2 linked regions of the Alligator mississippiensis genome follow. The protein of the gene in region 1 purifies or fractionates together with the protein of each later gene. This does not show direct contact. Links are inferred from orthologs where the notes say so. Each region holds a gene or a part of one and is shown in the gene's direction. Other genes may lie near its edges.

Region 1 (7,627 bases):
AAGCTGCAAAGCTGACAGGCACAGTCCGTAGCACAATCCTTGAAGAGAGAGATGATCTGTTCTTCCAGCGTCCCAAGAACGACAGGGGATGGTGTCAGCACAGGGGTTTTCTTCTTCTTTCTTCTTCTCCTTCTTTTCCTCCTTCTTCTACTTCTTTCTTTTTGAAGCACACACACTTACAGATTTTTATACCCTCAGTTCAGCTGCTTCGAAGCACCCTCAGTAGTGTAAATCATTGTCTTTTCTATTGACAAGGGGTTATCTGGTTTGGACCATCTCAGGAAACTGATTGATAATCAGGAAACACTTAAGATTAGGGAGTAACCCAAATACTTGGGAGCCAGCTTGAGATTCCTATGGATGGCAGATATCCTGATGGGATATCTCATGGTTTCTTCAGGAACAATAGATAGCTTGCAGTATCAGGATTTTGGATTTTTACTTGTTGTGCACAAGCCTCAGCTTAGCATGACTTTTCCAGATTTTACTATAGTCTTTTAACAGACTTAAAGCAATTATTGGGGTGCTCATAACCTTTTGTGGAGAGGACTCCCACCAGTCGTCTCGGGAAAGATACGACAACACCTGGGATTAGGGCTCCAGCAGGCTGGATGCTGTGATGAACCCTTAACCATTGTTCCAATGTTGCCCATACCCCCTCGGACTTGGTCTCTTGCCTCAGCATTCCCTAACCCGGCAACCGAGTTTTAGTCAATCAAGTTTAAATAGGCCTCCCATAGTGGGACCGGGGAATGTATGGCCCGAGATGCCTATTAAACTTAGAGCTGTGTGTGTGTGTCTGGGGGGAGAAAAGTCCTTAGCAAATCCAGATTAGAACTGGTCTGATAAATGCTGAGCTGGGTGTGTGTGAACATGGGTTAATTAACATTGGAAGCACAGATTCCCCATCATGCAGCGCTCTCCTGCTTCTCTGGTCCCAGAATTCACTGCAGTCTCTGCTTCAGGCTTTCTGTTTTCCATCTCTCATGTAAATGAATGGTCATCTGGTTCCATCTCGGATGTAAATGAGACCTAGGGCAGTTGTTTCACTCTTATCACCCTTACCTGGAGAGTTTTAGGTGCGTCTCTCACTGCATCTTAATCAGTTTCGTTTATGTAGAGGAGGGGAGGGAGGGGGTGGGGGGGGGGGTCCTTTGTGAGTCAGACAGACTGCATCCTGTGCCAGGGTTGCCCAAGAATACAGAGCTGAGGTGTAACAGCAGCCCTTCTTCCATCCCCACGCCCTGCCAAACAAGCTGCTTGCAGCTCCATCCCATGCCCTGTCCTGGCTGGGCAGCGCCTGTTGGTGCCCCTTCACTTCCATGTCTGGAGCAGTCACCCCACTGCGGCACTCGCTACAGCACTGCATTTACATCTAAAATAACTGTCTTGTACAGCTATCACAAAATGTGTAGGTTAGCCTAAAACAGAGTTATTGAAACTGCATCCACTGATGATGTGGCCATTTCATAATCATGCTAATAAGAGAAGAACATGATAGCAATTTAAATGGCTGGTGAAGGAAGTAATCCAAACACAATTACTTTAACTGGAATTTTGTCAGGATGCTCCTAGTACAGTAAGATACATACTCCTATGTCACTTCCATTGGGAATATTGAAAGCTCTCTTTCTCTATTAGTGTGATGACCTCTTCACAATGCTGGGGCTTGACATACAGGGGAGAATACTACCTACAGCAGGGGTGGGCAATTATTTTTGCTGGAGGGACTGTTAATGAGTTTTGTTCACTCTTAATGAGTGTGGCTACATGTGAGTGGGTGTGGGGTTTGTGGGGGGAATGTGGGTAGATGGGTGTGGGATTTGCAGGGGGGTGTGGGGAAGGAGTATGGGGGAGGGTGTGGTGTTTGTGGGGGGTGTGGTTGTGTGTGGGGGAGCATGGGATTGTGGGCTTTGTGGGGGAATGTGATGGAGGGTGTGTACGTATGGTGGGGTGTACATGGGAGCCCTCCTCCCCCCCCCTCCCCACACATGTACCCCCCTGGGCCAGTCAGCACCCCCTACCCCACAACAGCCCGGAGCCTGCATGCCCCACAGCTTTTTGTCACCACTGCTAATAGCACATAGCTCCAACCCCAACCCGCCACACACTTGCTCCAGACTTGCCCCGGCTGAAGCAGACCACCTGGAGCCCACGTGCACAGCCCCAAACAAGACCCACTGCATGCCTGCTCCTGACCACCTGCCCATGCTGAGCAGCAGCAGTGGCTGGGCAGAAGCTGCTGCTCGGCATATGGGAAAAGCAGTCCCTCCCCTTTGCCATGGCTGGGTCCTTCTTGTTACAGCCACCCAGAGCCCGTGCCCAGGCTGCCCTGCAACTCCTTTTCACTGCTGTTACTGGGCCGCCCAGCAACGTAGTGGCAGCAGTGCAGAGGAGCTGCAGGGCAGCTATTAATGCAGCCACCTCCCAGCTGCCAAATGGCCAAAACCCATGTGGCAGGTTGAAGACAGGCCATGCCCCCTGTCCCCCACACCTGGATTGGGGCGAGGCCATGCTCCCTCCTGGTGCCACCCCATGGGGCTGGTGTGGGCAGGGTCAAGCCCCCTTCAGACCCCCACAGGGCTGGGTTGGGGCTGGGTTCAGTTTCCTTATACCCACTGCGGGGCCAAGTCAAGTCCTCTTCTGCAGGGTTGGGTTGGGGCCGGGCTGTTCCCCCGCTTCCCTCTGTGTGGCCAGATTGGGCCCACTCCATCTGCTGAGGGCACAAGATTGGGACCAGCAGCCAATCTGGCCCATGGATGGACCAGACCCTGCCTATCTGGCCCACCTGATGAAAGGGTTGAGCATCACTGCCTGAGGGCACCAGGCCTGTTCTCTGTTGCCTCTCTGCTGTAACAGTGACTCCTGTCTGTCCAATACTGCGGCCGCTTCCCGCTCTTTCATCCATTCACATCTCCAGGCAGATTTCACTGGGCAGTGTCTGCTGGCTCCTTGGACTTGTGTGCTCTGTTTGGTATCCCCACTTTGTGCACTCGTTATAAACCTATGCCCCTCACTCCTTTCCCTGTTTTTCTTTCAGTTGTCCCAAGGAATCAACTGCTATGTCCTCAGTGGCCTCCTTTTTAAGGAAGGCTTATAATTTTACTTAGCGGCTTCTGCAATGGTGTAACAAATAGGTCTGTCTGCCTAACACGGCAACCATCCCTCGCTCCATCCTCCTCACCTCTTAGGGCCCTCAAAATAATAAACTGAGGAAAAGATGGGCACTTTTTCCACTTGCTCTGTGGCCGAGAGAGGAACAAGTGTCTTTACCGGGCTTCGCTGCTTCTAAGGCAGGAGCTATCAACCTTTTTGGACTCAATTGGCTAAGTACAGACAGTCAAAAGGCCCTAGGCTGAATTGATTCAATCTTTGCAAGTTAGTTTAAGCAAGTGAACCGATAAGCAAGTGAACAGACATTCACTTCTGATTCAAGAATACAGCCGCGTGCCAGAAGCTGGCAGGCACCGGAGCACCCTTCCTTGCTTGGAGAAGACAGCTTGGGCCAAGGCTAGTCGGCCCACCCTGCGAAGGGGGCGTGCAGGGGAGGGGAAAAGGATCCTGGGGACTGAGTTATCTTGAATTTGGAGCGGATCTGGGATGGACATTTAGTAAATCAATGTAACCTAAATCAGTTAGGTCTGATACTTCATCTGGTTCATCTTAAACCAGTTTCGGCCATTCTGGAAGTGGTTTATGTGCCCGGAACTTCTGGACTAGGTGCAGACATTCAGAAAGTCTGATGTAGAGTCAATTTAAGTTGTGTGGTTTTCTGCAAGCAGCCTAGATTAGGTGGGCGGTGAACACAACACACATTCACTCTTTGGTGGCAGGAGGGCAAATTTTAGACCGGGTTCTGCTATTTTTTAACTAGTCTGTGCATGCTGAACCTCTGTTCTGTTACAGGTCTAGACTGGTTGTGTGTGCCTACCGTCTGTTATGGGTATAGACCAGTTTCCACTCTTTAATATGGGTAAACGTGTAATGTCTGTATCTGGCTTTGTCGCATTACGTTTGAGACAGTTTCTGATCGTACTTTATACTGGTTTATGTGTAACCTCCGCCCCCAGCCAGGTGCCCTTGGGGAAGGCCAAGGGGCCTGGGCTTAGACTGGGGAAGAGAGGACTGAGGGGATTTCACAGCAGCCTTCAACTGCCTGAAGGGGGTGCAAGGAGGACGGAGCAGGACTGTTCTCGGATGGAGCAAGGGGCTCAAGTTGCAGCAAGGGAAGTTTAGGTTGGATATTAGGGAAAACTCCCTCAGGAGGAGGGTGGGAAAGCACTGGACCAAGCTGCCCAGACCGGGGGTGAAATCTCCATCCTCGGGAGTGGGGGTGAAGACGCAGGTAGCAAAGCCCCGGCTGGGGACAGCCGTGCCCTGGGCAGGGCTTGGCCTAGATGTCCCCGAGGCTCGCTTCCACCCTCACTTGCTGAGTCCCACCCAGGCGGCTCGAGGCTCCCCCGTGCGTGTGGCGCCGAGGTGGGTCGTGGTCGCCGTCGTGGCCGTGCAGGGCTGCGGGACATACTATCGCCCCTCCGCGGCTCGAGGCTCGCGGCTCAGGGGCGGGCGGGGCGGGGCGGGGCGGGCGAGAGGCGGTGCCAGGAGGCGGCGGCAGATCCGGGCCCGGCGGAGCCGGAAGGGGCGGGCGGCCGTGGCGCGGGCCTGACTCTGCGGGACGCGCGATGCTGGTGAGTGCGGCGCGGCGCGGCGGGGCCCGGCCCGGGGCCGGCTGTGGCGCAGCGAGGCCTGCGGTGGCGGCGGCTCTTTGTGCCGCGCGGGGCCGCCGTTGCCGCCGGGCTGGGGATGGGCCCGGGGCCGCGATCCGCGCTGCGGCCTCTGCCCGCCTCGCAGGCCCGCGCCGCCCCCTGCGGCTCCTGGCTGGGCCTTGCGGGTCCCCCTACGGCCCTGGTGACACCCGGCGTGGCCCAGGCTCCTCCGGCCCCCGGGAGCTGCGCACTTCCCCACTCCCCCGCCCCGGTATTTCTCCTCCCATCACCTTGCTCGTCCCCTCACATACTCCTTCCCCGGCCTCTGCCCCGACCCGCGCCTTCCCCCTCCCTGGGGTTGGACCCCAGCAGCTCTTGGCCTCGGTGGTTCAGGCTTTTTCTCCCTCTGCCCTGCTCCTTAAACCCTTCCCAGTGCCTCCTTCCAGGCCGCGCTTCCAGGTGCCCCCAACTTGAGTCTCCGACCGCTCAGCTGCGCGGTGTGGAGGACAGATGGGGGTCCTGGGGTAGCACAGCTTTGTAGTTAGCCCTGCCAGACTTCACCCTTGGCACTGAGGGTGGTGGGCGGGGGGGCTGGACCAGGCACGCATTTCCTTAGCTTCATTATTTCCTAGTTGCCTCTTCCCATTAGGAATTGAGAGGCCTCGTATTTTTCCAGCAGCCTCTAGTTCCTGTCTTGTCACTTCACTTGCCAGAGGTTGTTGGTGTTGTGTGGATGCTTGCTACACGAGACTGAGAGTATTTGAAGATTGCAGACAGATTGAAGCAGTGTATGTAGTGGCCCAGGCATGAATGCCAGGCAGTTTCAGAACTGGTCTACAGCCAGTTGCTCTGGTTCAACTAAATCACTCTGTTCCCAGCTTGACTCGTTCATTCTTTGATCATAACCTACCATTAAACCTCATCCTAAATCTGTGTCTACAGGTAGAGGTCCCCTCTGCCCCCCCCCCCCCCCCCCCCCCCCCACTTCTTCCCCATCTCTTGTTTTCTCACGCTGTCTACCTGGGACTAACTATTTGTTCTGCCAAGTGCTTTAATAAGCTCTGCTCTTTTGAAAATGCTGGGGGATGGGCTTAGTTCAGAGTAGAAGCAGGGAGCTTTGTTTCCATTGCTGCATTGTGAATTGGTGATCTATAAGGAGGGCAAGTTGTTTGGGGCATTTTTGTGGTTTTATTTTTAGGAAAGGAGGAGATGTATTTCATAGAAAAGTAAGGCCAGAAGGGACCTCAAGAGATCACATAGTCCAACCAAGGTTGTGGTAGGGTCACACTGTTTGTGGTCTTCTCTTGGGTGAATTTCACCCCTACAGATTTTGAGTACCGATCGTGCAGCAGTTGTATTACTTTGCTCCACAGTGGTATCTTTCTGTTCTGATCTGGGAGGTCTCTTATTTTTCCAGTAGTGTTTAGTTCCCATCTTGGCCCTTTTGTCCTTTGTTAGTTGCCTTATGTTGTTGGTGTTAATTTTGTTGATGCTTGCTACAAAAGACCTGCCATATTTGAATATTGCAGTCAGATAATGTCCCATTGGATTAACGCTAAGTAGTTTCCGCGTGGGTCTACATCCAGTTGCCCTGGTTTAACTAAATCACCATGTTTCTAGTTTACTCACTCTCTCATAGCTCATAGAGCGTACGCATGTAACTTATGTATTTCTAGGAAGTTCAACTTAAAACTTTGAAAACGGATTTTGCTCAGTTGTCAGATTCCTTCATGAGGATGCTTTGGTTTGATAGCTGGATTTAGTTTAAATTGATTTGAATTCATTCAGAGTGGTTACAGTTTGTCTGTAATTGTCCAAGTCACTTCTATGTCATTTGAAATACAGTTCTGTAGAATAATATAGTCTTTTCATTTGAAACTCACTCTGTTCTATTTAATGTTTGTCCTTTTTTTCTTTTTTTATAGTTCTCAGGTGCCAGATTGTAGATTTGAGAACATGGAGCTTTAAGAGGCCTGGTCTTTGAGGGAAATGACTCATCAGTGGCAGTGGTTAACTAGCTTGAGTCCACCTGAACTCAGGTTGGCTTCCACTGGAAGTGGCTTATGTGGCAGCGGACCTGTTAGTTTAATTATCAAGTCACTTACATTTTTCGGTAATATTAAAAACATTTCCGTCTCCTGTACAAGTTACCGTAAATGTCAGTAGAAAAGATGCATTATGAGGCCAATGCAACTATGTCTGACAAAAGTTGTGAGCAAGAATGCTTTTCCTTTTACAGATGGAGGCTAAAACAGTGTCTATACTGCAACTTTTAACTGAGTGTGCAGCTATATACAGGCGAGACTACATTAACTGTATCACAAATAATACAGCAAAGTTTGGATATATTCAGATTTCTGCTGTCACAGCCATGTTTGTAATTCTTTATTCACCATGTTGTATTGGTTTCAATCTGGGGGAAAATCTTTCTGGGGGATAGATACCGTGCTACAGTGGCAGGGAATGCTTGGAGGATATGCATCTGCAACATGTAGGGCAATGTACTTGTGCAATCTGTTGCTATACAGAGCTTGAAAGAAGGACAGCCAGCAAACCAATAATCAGCTTTGTTATGGAAGACACTTCTGCATTTTAAGAATGTGAGAACTAGTTTCAGAAAGATGGCAAAGGCTTCTGGCAGGGACAAAGCTCTATTAGCTGTTAAGTTACTACAGTATATTTTAAAGATAAGATGAACAGCAACAAATGGTGATTGGAGACAACAATTATAGGTTTGATTAAGAAGTTGTCTGTGCAAAGTTTCTTTCTTAACTTCTCACTGTTGTGTTGCATTTCTGGTGGGAGAGCTAGTACGGATTGACAGCTGAGGGCTTTTACCACTGCAGACTAGATCTGCTATGAACAGGGTAAAGTTGCATAGAAGTTAAGTTGCCATGAACTCAGCCTCCACCATGGCTGCC
Region 2 (7,279 bases), on another chromosome or scaffold:
ATCATGACTTTCCAAGTCAGTCCAAAATAGAAGGGGATTAGCTCAGGGGACTTGGGAGATGGCCTCTGAGGCTTCTCATTGCTAAGGCACTGGTCCTAGTCTGCCACACTGGTTTGGTGGGATCTCAGAGTCAGTCTTACCTAATAATTGCTTTGTGTCTTTTGGATTAAATTCATTTTCTTCTCTTGGATTAAATTCATTTTCTTCAGGTTCTTCAGTATAGTTCTTGGTGGGGTAAATATTTGCATAGAATTATAGTGTCAGGATTACAACTGGGATGTAGGCCTGTAAGGGACTGTGATGTAGGCAGTCACCCTGGGTGGAGCCACAAGCTGGAGGGAGAGTCAGGAGCAGGAAGGAGGAATCCAGACCAGTGTCACTAGCCACAGGGTCCAGAGCAGACAGATATAGCTATACAGGACTGGGCATGGGTGATTGTCAAACTGAGCCATGAGACAGAAGCCAGCTGTCAGAGGACAGGGGTGGGCAAAATACAGCCCGGGGGCTGGATGAAGCCCGCCAGGCCATTCTATCCAGCCTGCAGGCCCCCCCCAAAAATAAGAAAATAAATATTTATCTGCCCCTGGCTGCCTGTCATGTGGCCCTCGATGGCTTACCAAAACTCAGTAAGCAGTCCTCCACCCGAAATAATTGCCTGCCCCTGGTCTAGAAGCACATGGATCAAGGAGCCAGCAAGACAGTCTGGAGACAGAGGAGTCAGAGCTAGACCCTAGAACAAAGATTCAGCAGGCAAGAACAAGGATAAAATCACAGAGCCAATCAGCAGGACCCAAAATGCTAACAAACAGGTAGGGGCCAGGAAACTCAAAACAAGTTGTTAGCAGTCCAAAGCTAAAACATAAGGTGCAGACAGAAGAGCAGTTCCCTGTTGCAACTCATGGCATTTTGCAGGAAGCTCTTTGTGTTACAATCCCACAGACCCAACATATGTTCACTGTTGTATCCTGGTGGTTGAGGGATCCAGCTCCCGCAAGCCTGCAGCCGCTCTCCTCTAGCAAGCCCCAGCCCAGACCCAGTGCTCTTTTCAGAATGGGAGGGAGGAAAAGGTAGCGAAGAGAGCTCATTCTGGGGGGTGCCCAGCTGGCACTGGAGGGTGGGGCAGGTGGATTGGAGCTCCCCCCCACCTCAGGGGGGCTCCAGTCCACCCAGACCACCCTCCAGTGCCAGCTGAAAAAAACCCCAAACCGAGCTCCCTCTGCTCCTTTCCTTCCCTCCTGTTCTAAAGATAGCACTGGGAGTAGGGCTAAACTGCATCAGCCCAGCCCTGCTGCCAGCATGCACAGACACAAGTTACTGAAGGCACTCTATTTTGGAGCACCTTCAGCTGAACCCTCATGCAGTGTCAGATTACCATGAGATCGGGCCCTTTTAAAGCACTCTGCAGCTGTGGACTTGTATTTGGTCACAACTGTAGAGTGCTTTCAGGGACCAGATGGGGTAAAAATTATTATTTCTGTCTACACCTAAAGAAGCATCTATTCTATTAGATAGCCTCATAAGATCAGGTTGAGCTTTTACTTATAAGCAGACAGCCATGCCTACATAGGCAACTGGGACCACCTGGGAGTATTTAGGTCATTGGCAGCCAGGCCCTTGGTAAGGGGGTCCGACTCCATGATCTATTGAGGTCCCTTCCGACCCTAACATCTATGAAACTAGAGTCAGCTGGGAGCAATTGTTTGCTGCTCTGACTCCTGCTACATAGAAAAATAGGGCTGGATGGGACCTTAAGAAAGCCACTTAGTTCAGCCCTCTATTCTAGGCAGAGTCATCTCTATCTAAACTATCTCAAACAAATGTTTGCTTGACCTGCACTTAAACACTTCTAGTGATTAACACTCTATTCCACAGCCTCAATGCTTAACCACCCCCAGAGTTAGAAAGTGCTTTGTATTATGCAACCTAAATGTCACTTGTTGCAATTTAAGCTTATTACTTTTTGTCCTGTCTCTTATGGATGCAGAGAACAGTTAGTCACCATCTTCTTTAAAACAACCCTTTTTGTTTCATAGTTTCATAGTAGCTAGGGTCAGGAAGGACCTAAACAGATCATCTAGCCTGACCCCCTGCCACAGCATTAACAGCATTCATTCATGTATGTGAGATGTTATCAAAACTGCGCTCAGACTTCTCATCTCCAGACTGAGTAATCCTAGTTCTTCCAACCTTTCCTTGTATGTCATATGTCCTAGACCTCTAATCCTTTTTGTTATTTTAATTTTATTTTTTTAAGTTGCCCATGTCTTTCTTGAAGTGCTGTACCCTAAACTGGACACAGTATGCCAGCTGAGGCCTCACCAGTGCTGAAAGTAGTAGAATCTCTTCTCATGACTTGCATATGATACCCAGTATGCTATTAGTGTTTTTTGCAACTGTATGAGACCGCTAACTCATTCAGCTTGTGGTCCACTATAACCTCTAGGCCTCTACTTCTGAAGTATAGTAGTGTAGCCAGTCACTCCCCATTTTGTATCTGTGCATTTGATTGTTCCTTCTTAAGTGCACTACTTTACACCTGTCTGCTCAAATTTAATCTCAATTATTTCAGGCTATTTTTCTTATTTATCAAGGCCATTTTGAGTCCTCATCTTTTCCTCTAAAGGGTTTGCTACCCCACTCAGCTTGGTGTCATCTGCAAATGTGGTAAGTATGCACTCAATTCTATCCTCCAAAGAACATAGTGAGCAATACTGGACCCAAGATAGACCCCTGGAGAACTCCACTTGATATCTTCCCCCAGTGAATCATTGATGACTACTCTTTGAGCACAACCATCCAACCTTTTATGCACTCACCTTCCAGTAGTTTCATTTAGACTGCATTTTCTTGCTTACTAATGAGAATATCATGGGAGGCAACATCAAAAGCTTTGCTAAATTAGAGGTAAATTACATCCACTGCTCTCCCACCACCTTCAGAACCTGTTGCTTTGCCATAGAATGAAATCAGGTTGGTTAAGCATGACTTGCTCTTGACGAAGCCAGGTTCGCTGTTCCTTATCTCCTTGTTATCCTCTAGGTGCTTAGAAATATGTTATGCTCAAGTATCTTTCCAGATATCAGAGTTAGATTGATTGGTCTGTAATTTCCTAGGTCCCGCTTGCTCATTTTTATTTTTTTTTTATATAAAGATGAGGTATATAAAATATAAAGATATTTTCCGTTTTCCAGTCTTCAAACACCTCAGCAGGCCAGCAAAATACTACAGCATATTATTTTAGGACTTTTGAATGCAAATTTTCCATGTCTGCTGATTCAAAACTCTTTATGCATATTAGGGATGTTATCAGATCTCATCAATAATAGGCAGCAGCTCTGCAGTGACCTCAGTCAAGTCCTTAAGTACAGTACTCTAGGATGCATCTCATCTTGCCCAGCTGATTTGAAAACATCCACTTTGTCTAAGTTACCTCTGACTTGTTCTTTCTTTTCAGCTATCTACTGCCCTAACCTTTGCATCTTTTGCTGTTAAGTGGGCCTGCCATCTGATTATTGACCTGACTTCTGCCCACAAAACTACTTCTTGTAGACCAGACCTAGCAGGTAGAGTACAGCCTGCCCTCATAGGTTAGGATTACAATGTGTTAAAAAACTGTTGTCCAAGGCCATGTTTGAGGAAAAGGGATTTCTATACTGGCTTTTATGGCCATTACCTGCAACAGGACTGCCTTGAAGTAAAATCTCTAGTGTAAAGGACCACTGGCTTCCACTTCCAGGTCCGGGCATGGAGAGCCGTGACAGAGCCCCACAGGCCTTAAACGGGCAGAGCTTAGGACAGACACCCCCACACACTTGAGTTCCAGCTGTGGCGCTCAGCGCCCCGAACTGCTCTGGGACCACATCCTGCAAGCAGGCATCTTAGGCTGAGGGAGTCTGGCGACATGAGCAGAGAAGAAGGGGGCAAAATTGCCCCCAGGCGATGGGCACTACCCTCAGCAGCACCCCCAAGGCTCGGCACCACGGCTACCCCCAGGAGGGAAGTGAGCCTCCAGGTCACTTTCAGGGCAAGCTAAAGCCTACACAGCGCCACCGGCCTAGGCAGCTCTGCGCACCAGCCACCTTCACAGAACAGCATAACGCAGCCAACCCTCCCAGACCACACTCCATGGGTGCGGGCAATGTTACTCAGCGGGCCGGCCCCACCAATGGGAGAGCGGCGGGGACGGGACCACGCCTGTCTGGAACCAATGCGCAGAAGAGCTGGGGTAAGAGGCCTCGCGTGATGTCACCAACCCGGAAGTGGTCGCTCCTGGAAGGGGCGGACCCTAGAGAAGGGGGAGGGGTAGTGCCGGGGACCGAGCGCTCGTGCTGCCCAGGGAGGGGTCCCCAGGTAGGTGGCGTGGCGTGGCGCGGCGCGGCGCGGCGGGCGGGACCGCCTCGGCTACCCGCGCTGCTTGTCCCTGCAGCTCGCTGACGTGCCGCGGCCGTGGCCTGGGCCGGGCCGGCGCGGTGGGGCGGGGCGCTCGCAGCAGCATGGCAGCGGAGATGAAGGTGACGGGGCAGAGCCAGGAGCAGTTCCTGCTGCTCGCCAAGTCCTCCCGCGGCGCCGCCCTGGCCAGCCTCATCCACCAGGTGCTGGACGCGCCCGGCATCTACGTCTTCGGGGAGCTGCTGGACCTGCCTAACGTGCGGGAGGTGAGCGTCCTCCTCCCGGCCCCGGGGAGCCCGCCGGAGCTTGCACCCCAGGGCTTTGATTGCCCCTTGGGAAAGGGCCCGACGGGCTGGCCCTGCACAGTGCCTGGGCAGTGTGCCTTCCTGGCCCCGGGTACAGGATCACGGAGGATGGGGGCTGGAAGGTACCTCAGGTCATCTAGTCTAACCCCTGCTCAAAGTCAGATCATCCCAGCCAAGGCTTTGTCTACCCAGTTCTTACAAACCAAGCATTGCAATCCATGGCCCTGGCCCTGGGCATGGGAGGGAGGACCACTGTGCACTAGCCCCCCTGCTGGATGTTCTGTTTATGAACCTTCCTACTTGCCACTGTCTGCTTCAATCGTTTCTCTTGTCATAGTCATAGGATCATAAAAAGTGAGGGTTGAGAGGGCATCTAGTCCAACCCCCTGCTCAAAGCAGGACCATCCTCAGCTAGATCATTTTAGCCAAGGCTTTGTCTAGCTGGGTTTTAAAAACCTCCAAGGACGGAGAGTCCACAACCTCTCTGAGTTACCTGTTCCAGTGCTTCACCACCCTCCTTGTGAGAGAGTTCTTTCTATGCTTACCTGTTAGAATCCATACATCCTAGACCTTAATGCTGGAAGCTGCTAGGGGGGAGTAAACTGGGTATTACCAGGGTGCCTCCACCCCATCCACTGCAACCTCCAGCATTAAGGTCTAGGAAGTTCTGATTCTAACAGGTAAGCGCAGAAAGAACTCTCTCATAGCTTATAGCTCTCCTTAATGGGCTTTAGCCCATGTTCCAGAAAGGCATATCAAAAGACCTGTGTCACTGAGGAGGGGGGCTTACAGTGTTTCCTTGTGTGGCAGGCCCATTTGTTATGCCATGAGGAAGTGTGGGCTTACACGCACAAGGAAACACTGTAAGCCCCTCTCCTCTGTGACACAGGCCTTTTGATGTGCCATTCCGGAAACATGGGCTAAAGCCCATCAAGGAGAGCTATAAGCCATCCCCTGGTGATGAGGGCCATTAAGAGCATATCACTGATTACTTGGGACAAATAAAAACAAAACTGGGACAGGAGTGAGGGCTATTGGTTCATAATAAGTCCATCAAGGGAGGACACCAAGCAGAGTACACAGGCCAGTGCCCTCATATGAGTCCATGGAGCCAGTAGAACTCTGCCTGGAGACATGAATATCCATGCAGAGATGAAATCAGGAAGGCCAAAATACAATTGGAGTTGCAGCTAGCAAGGGACATGAAGGGTAACAAGAAGGGTTTCTACAAGTATGTCGGTAGCAAGAGGAGGATCAGGGGAAGTGTGAGTCCCTTACTGAATGCGGGAGGCAACCTGGTGACAGAGGATGCAGAAAAGGCTGAAGTGCTCAGTGCCTTTTTTGCCTCAGTCTTCACAGGCAAGGTCAGCTCCCAGACTACTACACTAGGCAGCACAGTTTGGGGAGGAGGTGAGCAGACAACAGTGGTGAAAGAACAGGTTAGGGACTGCTTAGAAAAGCTGGACGTGTACAAGTCCATGGGGCCAGATGGGATGTACCTGAGGGTGCTGAGGGAGTTGGCTGGTGGAATTGGACATCATCTTTGAAAACTCATGGCGATCAGGACAGGTCCCAGATGATTGGAAAAGGGCAAACATAGTGCCCATATTTAAGAAAAGGGAAAAAGGAGGATCCAGGGAACTACAAACCAGTCAGCCTCACCTCAGTCCCTGGAAAAATCATGGAACAGATCCTCAAGAAATCCATTTCTGAGCACTCGGAGGAAAAGAAGGTGATTATTAGGAACAGGCAGCATGGATTCACCAAGGGCAAGTCATGCCTAACCAACCTGATTGCCTTCTATGACAAGGTGACTGGCTCTGTGGATGCAGGGACACCGGCGGACGTGGCGTACTTTGATTTTAGCAAGGCTTTTGATACGGTCTCCCACAGCATTCTCGCAGGCAAACTAAGGAAGTATGGGCTGGATGAATGGACTGTGAGGTGGATAGAAAACTGGCGAGAGCATTGGGCTCAGATAGTATCTAATCAATGGCTCTATGTTTAGTTGGAACCTGGTATCAGGTAGTGTGCCCCAGGGGTTGGTCCTAGGGCCAGTTTTGTTCAATGTCTTCGTCAACGACCTGGAAGATAGCATAGAGTGTACCCTCAGCAAGTTTGCAGATAACACCAAGCTGGGGGGAGTAGTAGATACATTGGAGCATAGGGCTTGGATTCAGAGTGACGTAGACACTAATTGTAGGATTGAGCCAAATGAAATCTAATGAGGTTCAACAAGGACAAGTGCAAAGTCCTGCACTTAGGATGGAACAATCCCATACACCAGCACAGGCTGGGGGCTGGCTGGCTGGGCAGCAGCTCTGCAGAAAAAGACCTGAGGGGTCACAGTGGACAATAAGCTGAATATGAGTCAGCAGTGTGCCCTTGTTGTCAAGGCTAACGGCATACTGGGTTGCATTGGTAGGTGTGTTGCCAGGTAAAGGGCAGTGATCATTCTCCTCTATTCAGCACTGGTGAGGCTACATCTGGAGTACTGTGTTCAGTTTTGCCTCTTTTCTTGTAGACTTAGGATCTCACTAGGGAAAGGAAAGTGGCCCCACAGTCCCCAGTGATCTTCCTGCCAG

The links. The genes of interacting proteins can lie anywhere in the genome.
Region 2: the proteins of CUL1 (region 1) and COPS7A purify together in Homo sapiens (affinity purification with western blotting; 5 studies listed by BioGRID and IntAct, with this or other methods). This does not show direct contact. The link is inferred for Alligator mississippiensis from reciprocal best matches to the Homo sapiens genes CUL1 and COPS7A.

The regions. Positions count from the first base shown.
Region 1 is NC_081828.1:117,827,574-117,835,200, reverse strand, and holds the start of CUL1 (cullin-1), read left to right. Parts: upstream 1-4,609; 5' UTR 4,610-4,688; intron 4,689-7,627. UniProt on the Homo sapiens protein: Core component of multiple cullin-RING-based SCF (SKP1-CUL1-F-box protein) E3 ubiquitin-protein ligase complexes, which mediate the ubiquitination of proteins involved in cell cycle progression, signal transduction and transcription.
Region 2 is NC_081824.1:243,714,303-243,721,581, forward strand, and holds the start of COPS7A (COP9 signalosome complex subunit 7a), read left to right. Parts: upstream 1-4,274; 5' UTR 4,275-4,350; exon of another isoform or gene 4,351-4,426; 5' UTR 4,427-4,493; coding exon 4,494-4,655; intron 4,656-7,279.